3 linked regions of the Drosophila melanogaster genome follow. The protein of the gene in region 2 purifies or fractionates together with the protein of the main gene of each other region. This does not show direct contact. Each region holds a gene or a part of one and is shown on either strand. Other genes may lie near its edges.

The links.
Region 1: the proteins of PGRP-LC (region 2) and imd purify together in Drosophila melanogaster (affinity purification with western blotting, with the first as the bait; 3 studies listed by BioGRID). This does not show direct contact.
Region 3: the proteins of PGRP-LC (region 2) and PGRP-SD purify together in Drosophila melanogaster (affinity purification with western blotting, with the first as the bait; one study listed by BioGRID). This does not show direct contact.

The regions. Positions count from the first base shown.
Region 1 is NT_033778.4:18,410,861-18,416,263, reverse strand, and holds the start of imd (immune deficiency), read left to right. Parts: upstream 1-2,664; 5' UTR 2,665-2,808; intron 2,809-2,834; exon of another isoform or gene 2,835-2,938; intron 2,939-3,186; exon of another isoform or gene 3,187-3,416; intron 3,417-3,907; exon of another isoform or gene 3,908-4,237; intron 4,238-4,677; 5' UTR 4,678-4,853; coding exon 4,854-5,403. Other genes in the region: Dp1 (Dodeca-satellite-binding protein 1), read right to left, coding at 1-601, 669-919, 978-1,014.
Region 2 is NT_037436.4:9,338,067-9,343,469, forward strand, and holds the start of PGRP-LC (peptidoglycan recognition protein LC), read left to right. Parts: upstream 1-2,371; 5' UTR 2,372-2,523; intron 2,524-4,098; 5' UTR 4,099-4,261; coding exon 4,262-5,063; intron 5,064-5,403. UniProt on the Drosophila melanogaster protein: Major activator of the imd/Relish pathway and is likely to encode a pattern recognition molecule for the humoral immune response. Required for Relish processing and nuclear translocation following proteolytic cleavage.
Region 3 is NT_037436.4:7,647,912-7,652,935, forward strand, and holds PGRP-SD (peptidoglycan recognition protein SD), read left to right. Parts: upstream 1-3,268; 5' UTR 3,269-3,293; coding exon 3,294-3,854; 3' UTR 3,855-3,989; downstream 3,990-5,024. Other genes in the region: CG7492 (uncharacterized protein), read right to left, coding at 4,399-5,024. UniProt on the Drosophila melanogaster protein: Peptidoglycan-recognition protein that plays a key role in innate immunity by binding to peptidoglycans (PGN) of Gram-positive bacteria and activating the Toll pathway. Has no activity against on Gram-negative bacteria and fungi.

The sequences.
Region 1 (5,403 bases), on a different chromosome or scaffold from region 2:
CTGCGACCGCGTCCTTCTCGCCCGAGATGACGATCTCGTCCTTCTGAACCTGCTGCGGCGGCACGTTGATCCTAGCGCCGGTCTCCTCCTGCAGCTTATTTAGGTTCTCGCTGTAGGGGCCCACGATGAAGGGATGGTAAACTTTGGGCACCGTGATGCGGTCCGATGACTTCTTGTACTGCTCGGCTGACAGCTGACGGATCTCCTGCTCGGCCTGGGCAATACCCTCCTTGGTTCCGGCAATCGTGATAAACTCGCTCTCATCGCTCTGGCTGGGGATGTTGATGCGCGTCGCAGTAACACGCTCGATTTCGCGCAGCCGTTGGCCACCCTTGCCGAGGATGACGCGGAAGTGCTCCCGAGGAACGGTCACCTGCCGACTGGCCTGAGTGGAGAAGCCCATAAGAATCTTACGGCGGGCATCGAGCAGCTCGCTCTGCTTGCCCTTAATCAGGAAGGTCAGCGACTGGTTCTTGCCGCTCACAATCTCGATCTGGGCTCCGGTCTCCTTGGTGATCTGCTGGCAAATACGCTTCGACTCGCCTTCGCCAAACTTCTCCGACTCCGTGGACTTGCGCTCCTTGCAGGGAACATGCACAATCTGTTACAAAAAAAATTGAAATCCATAGAATCAGAACCAAATCAATGTATGTCTTTTTCGAGCTTACATGAGTTTTTTGGGAACTCGTCACACGAGCTAGAGTCGAACCGGAAGCTCCGGATTGCGATTGAGCCGAAGTGTTGGCCGGCAGGGCCGGAAACAGGTCGTCGTAGCTAAAGGCGGGTGTGGCATTGCCAGTTCCGCCGCTAGTGGTACTAGTGGGCGTGGCCACTGAAGTTGGCGAGGATGGTTGCTGCTCGTTGGCCACCTGCTCTTGGCCATTAATGAGAGCGATGGGCTGCTGCTCGATGGTAGTTGCTGCATGATGATTTTGGTTAACAATTGCTTGATAATATTTAGCCTTCGAAGAACTCACCGTTGTTAGTTTCCTCCATCACTGCTGCTGCTTGCATTACTTAAAAAAAGAGAAAAGTCCTTTTTCGTTCCAAGTCGTTTACAGTACACTGAAATTGAAAAGTAGAAGATATCTTATCAAGTGCATTAAAACGTTTACATCATACTGGACCCTATAAATGAACCTTGTTTATCAGCCAGCGATAAAGCAAACAACCAGGAAGGAAAAATTTCTAGGGGATTATCGAAGTGCTGGTCGATCAATCAAAGAACAAATAGTTAAATGGCATTCTTATTTTGGCAAACATGGATTAAAATAGGCCCGTTTAGCTACAGTTTTCATCTGTTTCTGTTGTCAGTCGCCCGCAGACTTACCAAAATCGCAGATAGTTGATAAGTGCGACCTCCGAGGACCCGCATTTGGCTGCGACCAACTGATAAGGAACTACATAAGTACATACACACTTTAGGACCGCTTGGCTACAGTAAACAAATTAGTACAAAGATAATTCATTGGATATGCGGCGTGACTTATGTACAGGAAATCTAACAAGTTGCGTTACTATTGCTTTCTTATAAAAACGTCAAAAGTTTGCAATTTTTTGTTTGCTGTTTTCCATTTCTTCTTAATTTGTGAATGGAAGAAATTTCCAATAACATCCAATACTACATTTAATAAAATATCTATTAAATTAGATCATAAATTATTCATTGAATTCACCTCTGTAGCTTATATTCGTAAAGTTTCCTTCGACTGAATGCAGAATCATTCCGGGAAACCATGTTGCATGCCCCACTGTAAACAGTGCGTGTCCAAAGGGGGTGCATGAAATGGATTTTCTGGCGTTGATAAACCGAAATAGTCTCTTTTCAAACGAGCTTTCTGCACCACAGCCTGAAACTAAGGCCACGTAGTGCTTGGATCTGCGAGATGAGTGCTCGACACAACTCTCCGCTTTTCGGTGGTGATAAGTGGACGCGGCCGATGGGCCACGCAGGCAGATTCCGGGGCTGAGTGATAACTATCGGCCGTTCTGGCTGATAAGCTCAGTCGTCCGATTGCCACCAAGATATTGTGGTACGTACACACACAAACACACAATGCTACAAGTGCGCTTTCCGAAATTTAGGCTGCTATCAGTCGGATTTCGATTGGGTGAAAGGTTGGGGCCTCGCGAATGAGAAAGAGAGATCTCAGCCGAGGAGCAGCAGAGACCATGCACTTGTTCGACCAAAGCTGTTTTCTAAATCCATGCCCAACGAGTTTTCGTAGCCTACATTTTCCTCTCTACCGAAAGAACAACAAAGATATGTCTGTCTCCTCTCTGTTAGTTGTGTCTTTGTATGTGCGGACAGCGGCGGTGGCAGGGTATGTGTAAAGGGGGCCTCTTACTTTTAAATCATACGGTTTTGTAAATTTCAATGAAAGCTTAATACATTTATATATTACAGATAACAATGACAACTGCAAGTGACACCAGATCATTATCCCTAACATTTAATAATAGTTTTTCATTTCAGAATTAATTTCCCAAAAAAATAATCACCTAACGACGAATCTGTTTGTGCTCATGAAAAATGTGTCAAATACAGAGACAAGAGCACGAGAGCGACAGGAACAGGGAGAGGAGAGAGCGAGAGCTTGACGAAGTAACTTAACGGAGCAGGGGAGCAGCTCCATATAAAACCGGATGATAGCCGGCAACTACAACAAAACGATCGAGCAGTGCCAGTGGTGTATTGTATGCATGTGAGTGTGCTGTGCCTGTGTGCCTGCACATTTCTGTGTCGCTCTTTTTCTTCTTCGGGAATACGGTTGTGTGTGTGTGTTGCCACCTTTCGAGAAGGCACAGGTAAAAAACGAAAACAAGCAACATACCTACATAGCAAATACCATCGTTCATACGTTCGTATGTGACGCCTGCAGCGACGCTGACGTCGACAAATGAAGACAAAGCACAATAACAATGCGCTAAAGTTCAGCTTTAAACAAAAAACCAAAAAAAAAAAAAACATATATACAAAATTGGTATGCACATATCGGATGGATTCTTGTTTCTGTAATTTCGATACAAAGATCCCAAAGACCAAAAAAAGAAAAGCTTGACGTAGTCAGTTTTAGGCATGAAACCGTTAACTTGGACGACATTTGTTGTCTTTTTTTTGGCAAAACACTTGTGTAAAATGTTAAACTATGCAAATTAACTCTAGGCAAAGGTTGTTCAACTTACGGTACTGTAAAATCCAAAAAATCCGGCCGAGTTTACTCTCCTTTGACCAAATCCAGTTTGATAACTTGGGTGTCTGCTGGAAAAGCCGAAAAACAATTGCTTAAAATTAATGCAATTAGCGGATGCAGAAGATCGGATCGTGGCATCACCAGGATGAATGCCCTACAAATCATTTAGTCAGTCATTCTGCGTTATGCACATCCCCAATAGAAAGTCTAATGTTATTTGTCGCAGAGAGCGCGTTGTTGCAGAGAGCACGGTGAAGGAAGGGGAGGGGGGCAGCATATGCGGGCCACTTATTGGACAATTGTTTTTGTGGCAGCAGCGGAGGCAAAATTGGAGCAGCGCGTGGGCGTGTTTGTGTGCGTCTGTGTGTGTGTGTGAGAGTATGGAAATGCGGAAATCAGTGCCGTATGCTTTCCAGGTGAAAGGTTGTGTGGATCCTCTTTTCCGGCACGGGGCGGGGCCTTAACTCTGCCTCCCCCTCTCGAAAAATAGGAAAATTAAAGTAAAAAAAAATAAAAGGCAGCACGCGCGCCTTCCAATCGGACAAATATGCTTATATATGCACGCTCACACGTATGCACGGGATTTTACGTCCCTATGTGAGCGTGTGGGTCGTCGACGTCGCCGACTTTTGTGACTGTGTGGGTGAGCGCGAGTGCGCCGTCCGTGTGTATTATCAACCATTGAAAAACACGTTGTTTTTCGCCGACCGCACACAAATTTGAAGAAAAATTAGCGGCCCGAATTTTCTTTCATCGTTTTTTTTAATTCGCCACTGCCGTCTCTTCTTCTTCTGCTTGCTCTGCCGTCGCCGCCCCACCGCTGCCGGCCCTTTATAACTGTAAATCCGTGCACTCTCTTTCGCTCGCCGCAACTTATGCAATTCCGGCTGCAATTATACCGCCGCACGGATCACCGAGCAATGTGAGTTGATTTTCGCACTGGAATCTTGGTAAATTCACACCCAGACTTTCTATTGGAAGGCAGAACGCACGGACGCGGAACTCAACGTTACCGACTCCAAGTAAAATGTGAATGAACATGAGCGAACGTGGCAAATAGAGATGGGCGATACGCCGCAGCGGGTGCAGGGTTGTCGCTCTTACCAATCGCAAGCGCGAACTGTCAAATCGAACTATCGACTATTGGGTCTATTACCATGGCCTTCTTTTGGGGATTTTCAAAAATTAATTAAAGAATTATTCAATAGTAACAATAAAAAAAATATATTAAAAAAAAACTTAGACAACAAACACCAGTTTTTAAAGATGATAATCGTTATTATGGGGGTTTCCTTATATGCAAATTAATAAAGATTAGATATAAATGCTTAAATTTTTTCCTTATATGCACATAATGATTAAGAATTAAAATTCAAATGTTAAGTTTTGTATGTTAGTCAAATATAATTGATTTTTTCAATCAGACGGAAAAGACAAGAAATGCTATTTAGTTGAATTTCTTAATAAAACTAAAAATTTTTAGTTGTAAGTGAAATATCGGTTGATAATCGGCTCGGAATATCGATAGTCAGGTCCATCCTTGGCCTACCACCACCAAATTGAAAAAGAGCAAAGAAACACAAAGGCAAAAAACTCCCCAATCTGTGGAATTTCCGGAAGCGAGAGCACATTCAAAGCTACCAGTTATCAGCGAGCAGCATGTCAAAGCTCAGGAACCTGTTGCCCACAATCTTTGGCGGGAAGGAGGCACAGAATCCGACACCCGTCGAGGGACGCCTGGAAAAGGACGCAGCTCCCGTGGACGACAACGAACCAGATAACAACAACAGCGGAGCCCTGGCGCTGCCCTCCACCGCTGGCACGCCCACAGCCTCCTCGGATCTGACCGAATCCGTGCTGCGCGAGCTCAGCGACCCAAACTACAATTCAATGGATGTGGTGCATTCCGCCAATATTCCGGGCACTCTCAGTAACGTCCAGACAAACAACACCATGAACGTACACAGCGCCCAGCAACAGGTGGTCATGAACTTCTCGAATGCCAATAATCTGCACTTCGGCTCCGTCTACAACTTCAACCAAAACTTGAGCGCCTGCAGCTCGCGAAAGGGTAGCACCAGTACCGCAGAGGAGTCGGTCGCCTCTCCAGACGGTAAGCCGCGGGCAAGTGCGACGCGCAAAACGGTCAGCATTGTGGCCATGATGCAGTCACAAGAGGAACCGGATGTGCGCCTGCTCGATGTGGTTT
Region 2 (5,403 bases):
TACTGTCGCTCAAAAAGCTGGAAATTCCCAAGCCGCAGTCAACCTCTATCAGTGCCAATACCAGTACCCCTTTTATTCCCTCATAGACTTTAACACTCATCGATCTTGTGTGTGTCTGTGTGTGTGTGTAAATATATGAGAGCCTTTGTGCGCCAGTACAACATCATTATCGGTAGCTTCACTTCACTTCACTTATATAGACGATGTTGTGATCGCTGTGGCTGCCTTTGTCATTTATCTGCCTTTCAACGTGAATATATGTACAATGATAATAATGATGTTTTATTTTTGTTATCATATGGAGTCATTACAATCCTATTTACAGGAAGACTGGTAATAGCAGAGAAATATATTAAAAATGAAATGGATATTTGCCAATAAGATCTGCTATCATCACCGACCTTCAGTTCAAAGCCCTCAACAGAGAAGTACGTTCGATGATTTATATTGGTAAAAAAAAAAAGAAACTCCTTCGAAATGTTTATGTTTTTAACTTGCGCATCAAATGATGAGCTGAAACTATGACGACATGGAAAGCTAATAAACTAGTGGGTGTGCCTTTTAACCCTCTTTTCATCAATGACCTAAAGTCCAACCTGCCCAAAAGAGTGACGTACATACATTCATTGACTAATTAATCTCACGGCGCCTTAAAAAAAAAATTATACCTACAACGCGGAACGAATTTTTGGCCAAAACAATGACGAGAGTACGGCACGTGTAAAAACCAAAAAGAAGAAGAAAAAAACACATATGCGAAGAGGGAACCAAAAAAGTAAAAATAATTAATAATAATTAAGGTAAGAAAATATGTGGAGGTAGGTATATTAAAATAGCTATGGTGATTGATTTCGCAACCGTTGTAAAGAAATTATTATCTGCTTCATTGGAAATGATTTACAATAATTACTGGCATTTTTCGCAATAAAATAATGGGTCAACAAAGAATAGATTGCCTGGCTACAAAAGGCATAAATCATTAGATGTTTCGGTGTAGAACTTTAACTGCAATAAAATAATACATTTTAAAGGCCACTCAACAAGCTTATCAGTAAGTCAGGAACACTGAGAGAAAAAATATTATAAATAGTCTACAACTATTTCGATTAAAGCTCGTTGCGCTTTCCACTTATAATTATATTTTTATTTTTCTTTTCTGTAAGCGTGTTCGGAATTCGTTTCGCCAATTTGTTGCTCTTTACGTTTTATCCATCAACAGTTTCCCGGCGCCCTTTTCAGACTATCAGAGATCGCCGAACCGCCGTTCGCCTATAATTACATTAAATATTTTTCAACACAAGTACAATGGGTCAAGCTGGAATTGGAAGAGAAAAAAAAGAGCTATGTACACATGTACATATGTATACATATATATATATATAACTGGCCTGTACCACAAAGTGAAATAGCCAAAAACCGATTGCGGGCCGCAAAACAAAACAATTCTCGGAAATGGTAGCGCAATTTAAAATGTTCACATTTTTGCCCACACTGCAATGTCTGTAAGTGTTTTGGTAGACGGGAGAGAGCCGGAGATTTGTGTTGTTTATTGGTTGAATAAATAAAAAATATATATATTTATATACATACATATGTACATATATAATACGTATACGCCGATTTGTCTGTGTCGATGTCGGTGCGGACGACTAAACAACTAAACAAAAACAAACAGTCATCGTCAGGTGGGAGAAGTTGGAGAGACCATTCTCGAGCCACGGGGCGTAGCTGGAGGTATCGTTATAAATTTGACTAATATCTGGAAGATTTATAAAAAAAAACCCGAAATCGAGAACAGGTTCCGCGACTTAATGACGCTCGGAAAAACCGAAATATGCAGCTCGCCAGATGCAGTTATCGGAATTCTTTCGGTTTCTTGGGATCACTCGCTTTTCGTTTAAACCAGTTTCGATTGAGAAAAAGTTGTACCGCTATCATAAGTTATTAAAATGTACAGTTTTTTTTAAGGAAAATTTAAATCATTGCATTTTATTGGTTAACGCTAGATTACAAAAAGGATAGAAAATACAACAGAACGCGTTCATATTATGTAATATGTAAACACTATATGTTAAAAAATTATATTTTCTAAAACGATTTAGAAGTTTTTTGGAACAAGGCTTTTGAGTTGCACTCTTAAGATCTTTTGAGAAATCACTTATTAAAATGCAAATCGGTAACAAGTTGGACTGCCTGAAAATCGGACTCAAATTAAACAACTTTGGTTAAATAAACGCAAAAACGCCGACCGCTCTCTCCCCATCATTCTCTTTGTTTTTTTTTTCTCAGCGATCTGCTCTCCCTCACACACGCTCCCCACACGCTGCCATATCAGACGCTCCAGCTTTTCAGGCCGCTGCGATTTGATCGCCGCTCAGTTGATCAGAGTCACTCGAACGCGCCGCTGCTCAACGATTCGAAATTGGCGCGAAACGGTATAAAAAGTTCGACTTACAAATTGGCTATATAGTATAGACGCTCAAATATCAAACGAGCTGCAACGGTTTTCGTCGGCAATTTAAAGTGCGTAACGATATGCAAAGTGTTAATATAGAATAGAATATAGAGTGATTATATAGAATATTACACACCGCAAAATAATCATAATCCTATTATATGACTAGTGACAAATAATTGAGCAATTATATCGATATTTAAGTGCAAACTAGTTTGTTTCTCCAATCGTTTTATGTTCCAGGAATGTTAATTAGCCTTTCGAAACACGAAAGGAAGTGAAAGAAATTCGTGGAAGTGAAAAAGAAAACATGCTATCGAAACATCGATCGAAAATCAATTAATTTGCACATAGGCCATATTTAATGATAATTTTGAAAACACGTAAAACATCAGAGTTGTTAATTATTATCGATTCTCCAAACAGAATACAACCAAAACAAAGAGCACCCATATTGTGATGATCTGTGCGTGTATTAGTGACAATGGCCGCCGCTCCCGTGCACGTGTATTGGTGCGCTCGGTAAACTCAAAATGCCATTCCGTTTCTCATTTGTAGCCGTTGTCGTTATTCGGTGTATTCCATTTGGTGTTATCTCAAAAGCGTGCTCTGTGCCAACTCTCTAGAACATCGATTCTAAAGTATAAAGTCGCTACCCTCCAAGGCACCCTTTCAATTCTATCGAGTTTATCACAATTCGCGGAATTCTTTAAAATAGAGTTACTGTTTTGAAATTGGCACACCTCTTCGGAAACCTTCGTATCTACGTATCATCAAGACGTCACGGCATATGCCCATAATGATCTTTCAGCCTTTTGAAGACGTCACTCGTGGCTTTCGAATATCCAAAATTAAGCATAACATGCATATGTATGGGTAACAACTACTACTTTTGTGTTTCTCGGAATCCACTTAAGTAAATAGACTACGTCAATGATTATAGCTAATTTGCATAAGCCTTGCATTCGTGCGAGCTTACTGACCAACTATTTGAATCGAATTTGACGAGTATACAATATAAGTCAACTGTATACATACACATATATTCCAGCACTATTCAATACCCTTATATCTTAATTATACAAACTTCACTGCCATACAACAGCAGCAACGTTTTTTATTCGCGTTTTAAAAACTCTGTTGGCAATCGAGCTTATCAACAATCGTGTATACATGAACTAAAAGCGTTGATTGTACTTATAAATCATATTGCAACTGAACGATCTAATGGATTGTGATAACAATAAAATCACTTTTATAAAGCATGTGTAATTGAAAAGTATTAAAGAACTGACGAAATATTTTTCTAAATTGTGTGTGTTATCCAAACCGTTTAATAATGCTCAAAGCTATCAAATAAATATCACTTAGCTTATCGCATAATATAATATCAGCAATACATTGTTAAAATATATACATATATTTATCAATGTTCTAAAAACACTTGCACACAAGGGAATTATGTGGTTTTATCAAAAATAAAAAAATCAGTGCACCATAAAGCCAAAGTGCCTCCCCAAAGTTAAGCCCACTTTAGCCCAATTCAAACAAAAAATTTCTTCGAAATTTGACAACGTTTGACTAGCTTATTATCATCAAGTTAACCGGGACCAACAAAAAAAAAAACGTATACTTATTTGCAGATGCTCATGATGTGATGTTTGCCGAGAGCTGTGCCTAGTCAGCCGTTTTGCCATACGAAAAATAATGTACCGCCCAATCTGCTAAATAGGAAGGCTAACACATAACGCTCAGAGATCCAGAGAAAATATCAATCTGGTTACGTGACTGTCACGATAGTTCGACATGCCTTTTAGCAATGAAACGGAAATGAGCCAATGTTCCAATGCGAAACGTAGAGTAAACGATCCGTTGACTGGACCAAAAAACTGCAGTACTTCGTCCACAGACTCGGGCGTTATACTAAACGATAATGTGGCGGCATTCCGGCCGGAGAAGGAGACCAAAGATCGGGGGACGGGCGAAGGGCAGTTCCAATCGAAATCGGAAGAGAAAACGGAATCCAAGCGTATCAGCGTTGAGCACACTGTCAATATAACAACGGAAAATGTTGGAAAGACATCTTCGCCGGCGGTTTCCATACGGAGTACCACAATTTCCGTTGTGTCCATCGATGATAATGCCATCGACTCGAGTAGTATTGATAGTGATTCGGAGGCCGAAGCGGAGGATTATACGGTCCAGAAGCTGGGTCACCAGGTCACCTACCCGCCCAACAGTTCACACCTGCGCGACCTTAACCAGGGTCTAACGGTGATCAGTCGCCATGTGGCGCCAGGTGAGGCGGCAGTACCACCACCCAATCCCCTGGAAGCTGGCATTGTGGCCAAGCAAATACTGAACGGTAATCTGGCCGTGGCCACGCCCACATCGCCGGCGGGCGGTGCCACGCAGGGTATTGGCAGCATCGCCCTGACCAACTCCACAGATGTGACGTTCGGTGATAAGCATTTCTACGAGGGACCCGTGACGATACAACAGTTTCTCATCGATAATCGGGACAAGTGGAAACCGGGCGAGGGACCAGCTGGTGGACAGGATAACCCCGCATTCAATGGTGGTCCCAGCACGAATGGAAGTGCGCCGGGTAAGACATTCTAAGCTAATTTAATAGATTGTATTTTAAAATCTAAATCTGATATCGTTTAGTTTTTGTACACTATACTAAGAATGGAATCTTAAAAGTTGTAACTTTCGATTGCTTTCGCATCTTTCTGCATAGTTATTCTTGAGGATCGTTAGTTCGATAATTTCAACTTTTTAGTTTTCTATTCTAAAATATATATTTTCTGGGATATATATCCTTAAAACATATATATATTATTTTGCTATTTCCTGCTGCCTTTGTTTGCGTTTCATTTCTGTCTTCACCTTGCCGCGGTTCTGTTTGCTTTAATGGGCCAAAACTGAGCGCGTGTGACTATTTG
Region 3 (5,024 bases), 1.7 Mb from region 2:
AATTAAACCTTGTTTTAGTTAAATTTGATATTTAGATTCAATTGAAAAATATGCTTTTATAGTTACTGAGAATTTAACATATTTATAAATAATCACAGATTGCTTTGACTAAATTAGATTGCCTTAAAATATTATGATTATATTTTATTTATGACTTAGAGCATTTGGCTTCCTCTACGTAAGTAAATAGCATAACATAGCTATTAAACAAAAAACATCCATTCGCGATTTGGAAATGCAACATGAACTGCCAGCCCAAAATGATTGCGTTCAACCGACTGAATCTATTTGTATAACATATTTAGCTTAAATTTCAATCAAGTTTTAAGAGAAAGTTCGAAGAAACTTTAAGGTTAAGGTCCTGAATTCAGGATGTGCATATTCATAGCCGGGAACTTTATTCATTAGCGAATAAGACGGCAGCGCCTGAGAAAATATCAGGACACAAGTTGCGCGACTCGTAAACGAAATAAGTTTTCGTTTTCTGCTCGAGTTCTTGTTATGGAATTTAAGCAAGTTGTCATAAAAATGTCGCCTCCTAGTCCGCTCCCGTTCGCCCAATCTGACACGCCCCCCAATTTCGAAATTCGGTGGGTGGTGGTGGTGTGTGGGGAGCCGGCGGTGGAAGGCAGAAGGAGGTGTCAATCCGCAGTGCAAAGTTACTCGAAATCCAAATCCACACTGTGGTTGCAGTTGCAGGCAACTTTTGCTCTTTCCTGTTTCGTGGAAAAGCCTTGGGGGGGCGGTCGACTGGGGGAAATGGGGGGCGTGGCAGGCAGCAGATGTTGCAGAATTGCGTGCAAATTGTTGCTGTTGTTAGCCACAACTTTCCGGGCTTGCACGATTGACACCTTTTGGGAATTTGCGACAGCTTTAACGGAGCCTGCAGTTTAATTTGTTTGCTGTCCAGAAATGGAAGGCCTACTCTTCATCATCTTGCAACATCATAATCACCATCACCATCGTCAACATCATGGAATCTCCACGTTTTCCCTGCAATTTAATAGATGGCTTTGTATGCCAACGACAGTGGGTAAAATGGAAAATGGAAAAGGAAAATGCAAAAGGCGGGAAAGCGAAGGAAAACTAAACGTGCCCAATGCGCGATTTCAGTGAATTCGCATAAAAACTTTCGCCCTAAACTTGTGCAAGTTCTTTTAATTTTAATTAAACGGATGAGCAGCAATTAGCGAAATAAATCTGACAATTTTGCAAATGAGCCAACTTGGCGCCCCAAAAATTGCATCCAAATGCGGGACAGATTAAATTGAGACTATGGAAGTGGCGAAAAAAATATGTTTTTCTCTGCAGGACATTGGAAAACTCCTACTAATAAAAAAAAAACAATTCGAATAACCAAACAACACGGATTTTTTGAGGGAGCCGATTTGCGGAGGGGTGCTCCCAACTCAGAACTCACTTAAATTCAAGTTAACGGCGAGTTTTTCCCGCCACCAGCTGGTTTTTCCAGCCGCGCATAGTTTTGGCTTCGGTTTTTGGTTTTAGCCCGGCTTTTTCGGGTTTTCTGGATGTTGCGGCTTAGCTCTCCCCACCACTCTCCCCTCAACTCTCATCCCTTTTCCATCGCATTTTATATTCATTTTGGCTTTTAATTGAGGGCGCTTACTTGCATTTTCGTTGTCACTTTGCGACTTCACTTCCTCATCACGCCCTTTTTTGGGGGCTTAATGGCCTGCACTCCGCTTTGTTTTTTGCAGTTTTTGCATTTAATTGCAAAAGTTTTTTAATTAAATCACTGCCTAGAACATCTGTGTCAAGTTGAGGTTTCTGTGGGCTCGTATTAACTGGCATAAAATAGGGATAAATCGGGGGGCCTCAATACATTTAAGGGAAATACGCGGTATAAAGTGTACCATTAGATAGTGGATGTTCAGATTGAAATTGCAATATAAAGTTGTACATGTACATTAGTGTACACAACACACTAAATTATGCGTACAATTATTTTCAAACCAATTATTTTAATTAGGTAAAAAATTAAAACTTACTTACCTTACTTTCTCTGTATTTATACATATTAATCATATTTATCTTTTAAGAATACAGGCTTCCTGTATAAGCATTTCACTATTTTTATACATACATACTTATGTATGCATGTACATACATATGTATGTACATGTATATATCAAACACACACAAAACACATAAAGAAAAAACAAAAAAAAAAAAATAATAATAACCGAAACCAAAGCTTTGCTTTATTCATTCATTCGCTATTAAGTAGTATTTCACAATTGTTTTAAGCTGACCTATGTATGTAAAAAATCATTCTACGTTGCCGTTGTGTAGAATCTAACTATTAAAATAACTGTTTAAAGTTAGTTTAATAAGTAAAGGAGGTAATAGTATACAAACAGAACGTACTTCCGCGCACACTAAAAAAACAGAACTGCTGCAAAAGAAGAGACCGAAATATATTCGATTAAAGAAAGCAAGACGAAATAACGGCACTTGCGCGAAAGCACGCTCTTTCTTTGGTTATGACTCACAATTCGGCGAGTAATTCGATCGCATCAAACACTTACGTTTGTTTACAGAGAGGCAATTGATTACAGTTAGTTCTTGCTCGAAGGCAGGCTTACAAGCTAGAAATAGCGGCACTTGCGCGAATGCTCACTTTTTCGGCTTCTTTTCTATTGTCGATATTACACGCAATTCAACGCTTAATTCGATCGCATTAAAAGAAATCAGTTATTGAAACGCGTAAAAATAGTGCGGTTTAATTATAGTTTGTGTCAGATTGGGATTATAACTAAATAAATACGAGTGTTCCGGTAAAATTAATATTACATCCCGCCAAAGAAAAACATCAAATCAACATGCTGTAAAAATGCTCAATCTGCTGATTCGCGAGTGTTAGTGTAAAATAAGTAAGAACTATGAAATAATCTAAAGCAGCAAATTTTTATTTAATAATTCACAAGAACGTGGTAAGTGATTTAAGTTCTATGTACATTTTACACTTTTTATTACATATATGTCCCCCTTGTGGTGGCCTTGTAGTTTTTAGGGGAATTTCGCTTGGCAAATTTTACCCATTTAGAAAAATTCTGAGAGAACGATATATTGCTATGCTAGTTGTTCTTATAATCGTTACCCCCTGTCAATTATCTATCACTGGCAAGAAAAATCCCCCTCATATATGTATGATACATTCATTTATATGGGGTCGGATGACTATCTCCTTGGGGGCACTCCCCTTATCAGCGGCAATAGGTGCCGCAGCCCATAAGATCCCAACCCAGTCAGTTGACAGACACGCAAGTGGAATGACTTGGATCGGTTTGCTCATCGTTGGCCTCACAGCAATCGCTGTCCAGGGGGAAGTACCGATCGTGACGAGGGCCGAGTGGAATGCCAAACCGCCGAACGGAGCCATAGACAGCATGGAAACTCCCTTGCCACGTGCTGTGATCGCCCATACAGCTGGAGGAGCTTGTGCGGATGATGTTACATGCTCCCAGCACATGCAAAATCTGCAAAACTTCCAGATGTCCAAGCAAAAGTTCTCGGACATTGGCTACCACTATCTGATCGGCGGTAATGGCAAGGTATACGAAGGCAGAAGTCCAAGCCAGAGAGGAGCCTTTGCCGGTCCCAATAACGATGGTTCCCTGGGCATTGCGTTTATTGGTAACTTCGAAGAACGGGCGCCCAACAAGGAGGCCTTGGATGCCGCCAAGGAGCTGCTGGAGCAGGCTGTCAAACAGGCTCAGCTGGTGGAGGGCTATAAGTTACTGGGCCATCGTCAAGTCAGTGCTACCAAGAGTCCTGGAGAAGCACTCTACGCTCTGATACAGCAGTGGCCCAACTGGTCCGAAGAAATGTGAAATATAGAGTGTGCATTGCATAAGGTTTCGACACGTAAAGACCACTCCTTACACATTTATTTGTAAATATAATTATGTATAATTTGTTTTTTTTTTTTTTGCTTAAATACGAATACTAAAATTTTAATTTTGTTGATCTGTTTCCGATGTACTTCTTCGACTTCGCACATTTTTGTCAGCTGCCGCTTTTTTTTTTTTTTACTTTTTTGTTTGTTGCCAGACCCGTTTAATAAGCAGGCCGCTCCCCAGGAGCAGTGCACTGGGCCACAATAGAGATTTGAGACATCACATAGCATCATTCACCGAACCGGAACTTCCGCAAGAAACTAAGCTAACTATACAGAACCCTAGATGAAGCACGGAACGCAGATGGAACGAACGTGAACATAGTCGTAGTCGTAATGGTATGCAGTAGATAATGCGCCAAACGAGAGAGGTAAACAAAAGTCGGCAACGTGGCAACAGATGCTGTTACAGATTACAGATTTAGAAAATATAAAACAAGGAACTATACAAAATTCGTAAAGTACTTAGGTAAATTGCACTAATATAAACTCCCATTTGAACTGCCGCTCGCACTGTCTGTACTGCCGACAATGCTGCCATTTCCGCTCATATTACCATTGCCAATTCCTATGCCAATACCGCTTCCGTTTCCGCTCTGTTGGGCAAAGTCCAGCTGGAGCAGCCAGTTCCTCTTAGCCAGACCTTCGGGCGTCTCGCCACGCTGCGTACACAGCGGCTGGAAGCAGGTGGTCAGTCCAACGCTGGGCGTGAACTCCGCCCGTTCGCGTAACTCCTCCTCGGTGGCCAGCATGATGCAATCGTCGTCAATTTCATCGCTATCGACACTGTAGGCCAGCTGCTGCTGCTCTGCCCTTTGCTGCACGATGCTGTCGCTGGTGCGCCGAAATGAGTCGTCCGTCTTGCGCAGGAAATTGTACAGCGCCACACAGCCGAGCACCACTTCGCGGATGTGCTTGTCACTGATGCGCAGCGGCTGCGCCAGAATGGGGAACATGTTACACAGTATCCGCATCGTTTGATCCGCATGGGCATTGACCTGCTCCAGGGCCTCCAGTACGGCCAGATCCTTGGGCAGGTTGCGTGTGGTCACCAGATACGAGGTGGCAGGCAGTACCGAATCGCCAGCAAAGTAATAGCCCTGTC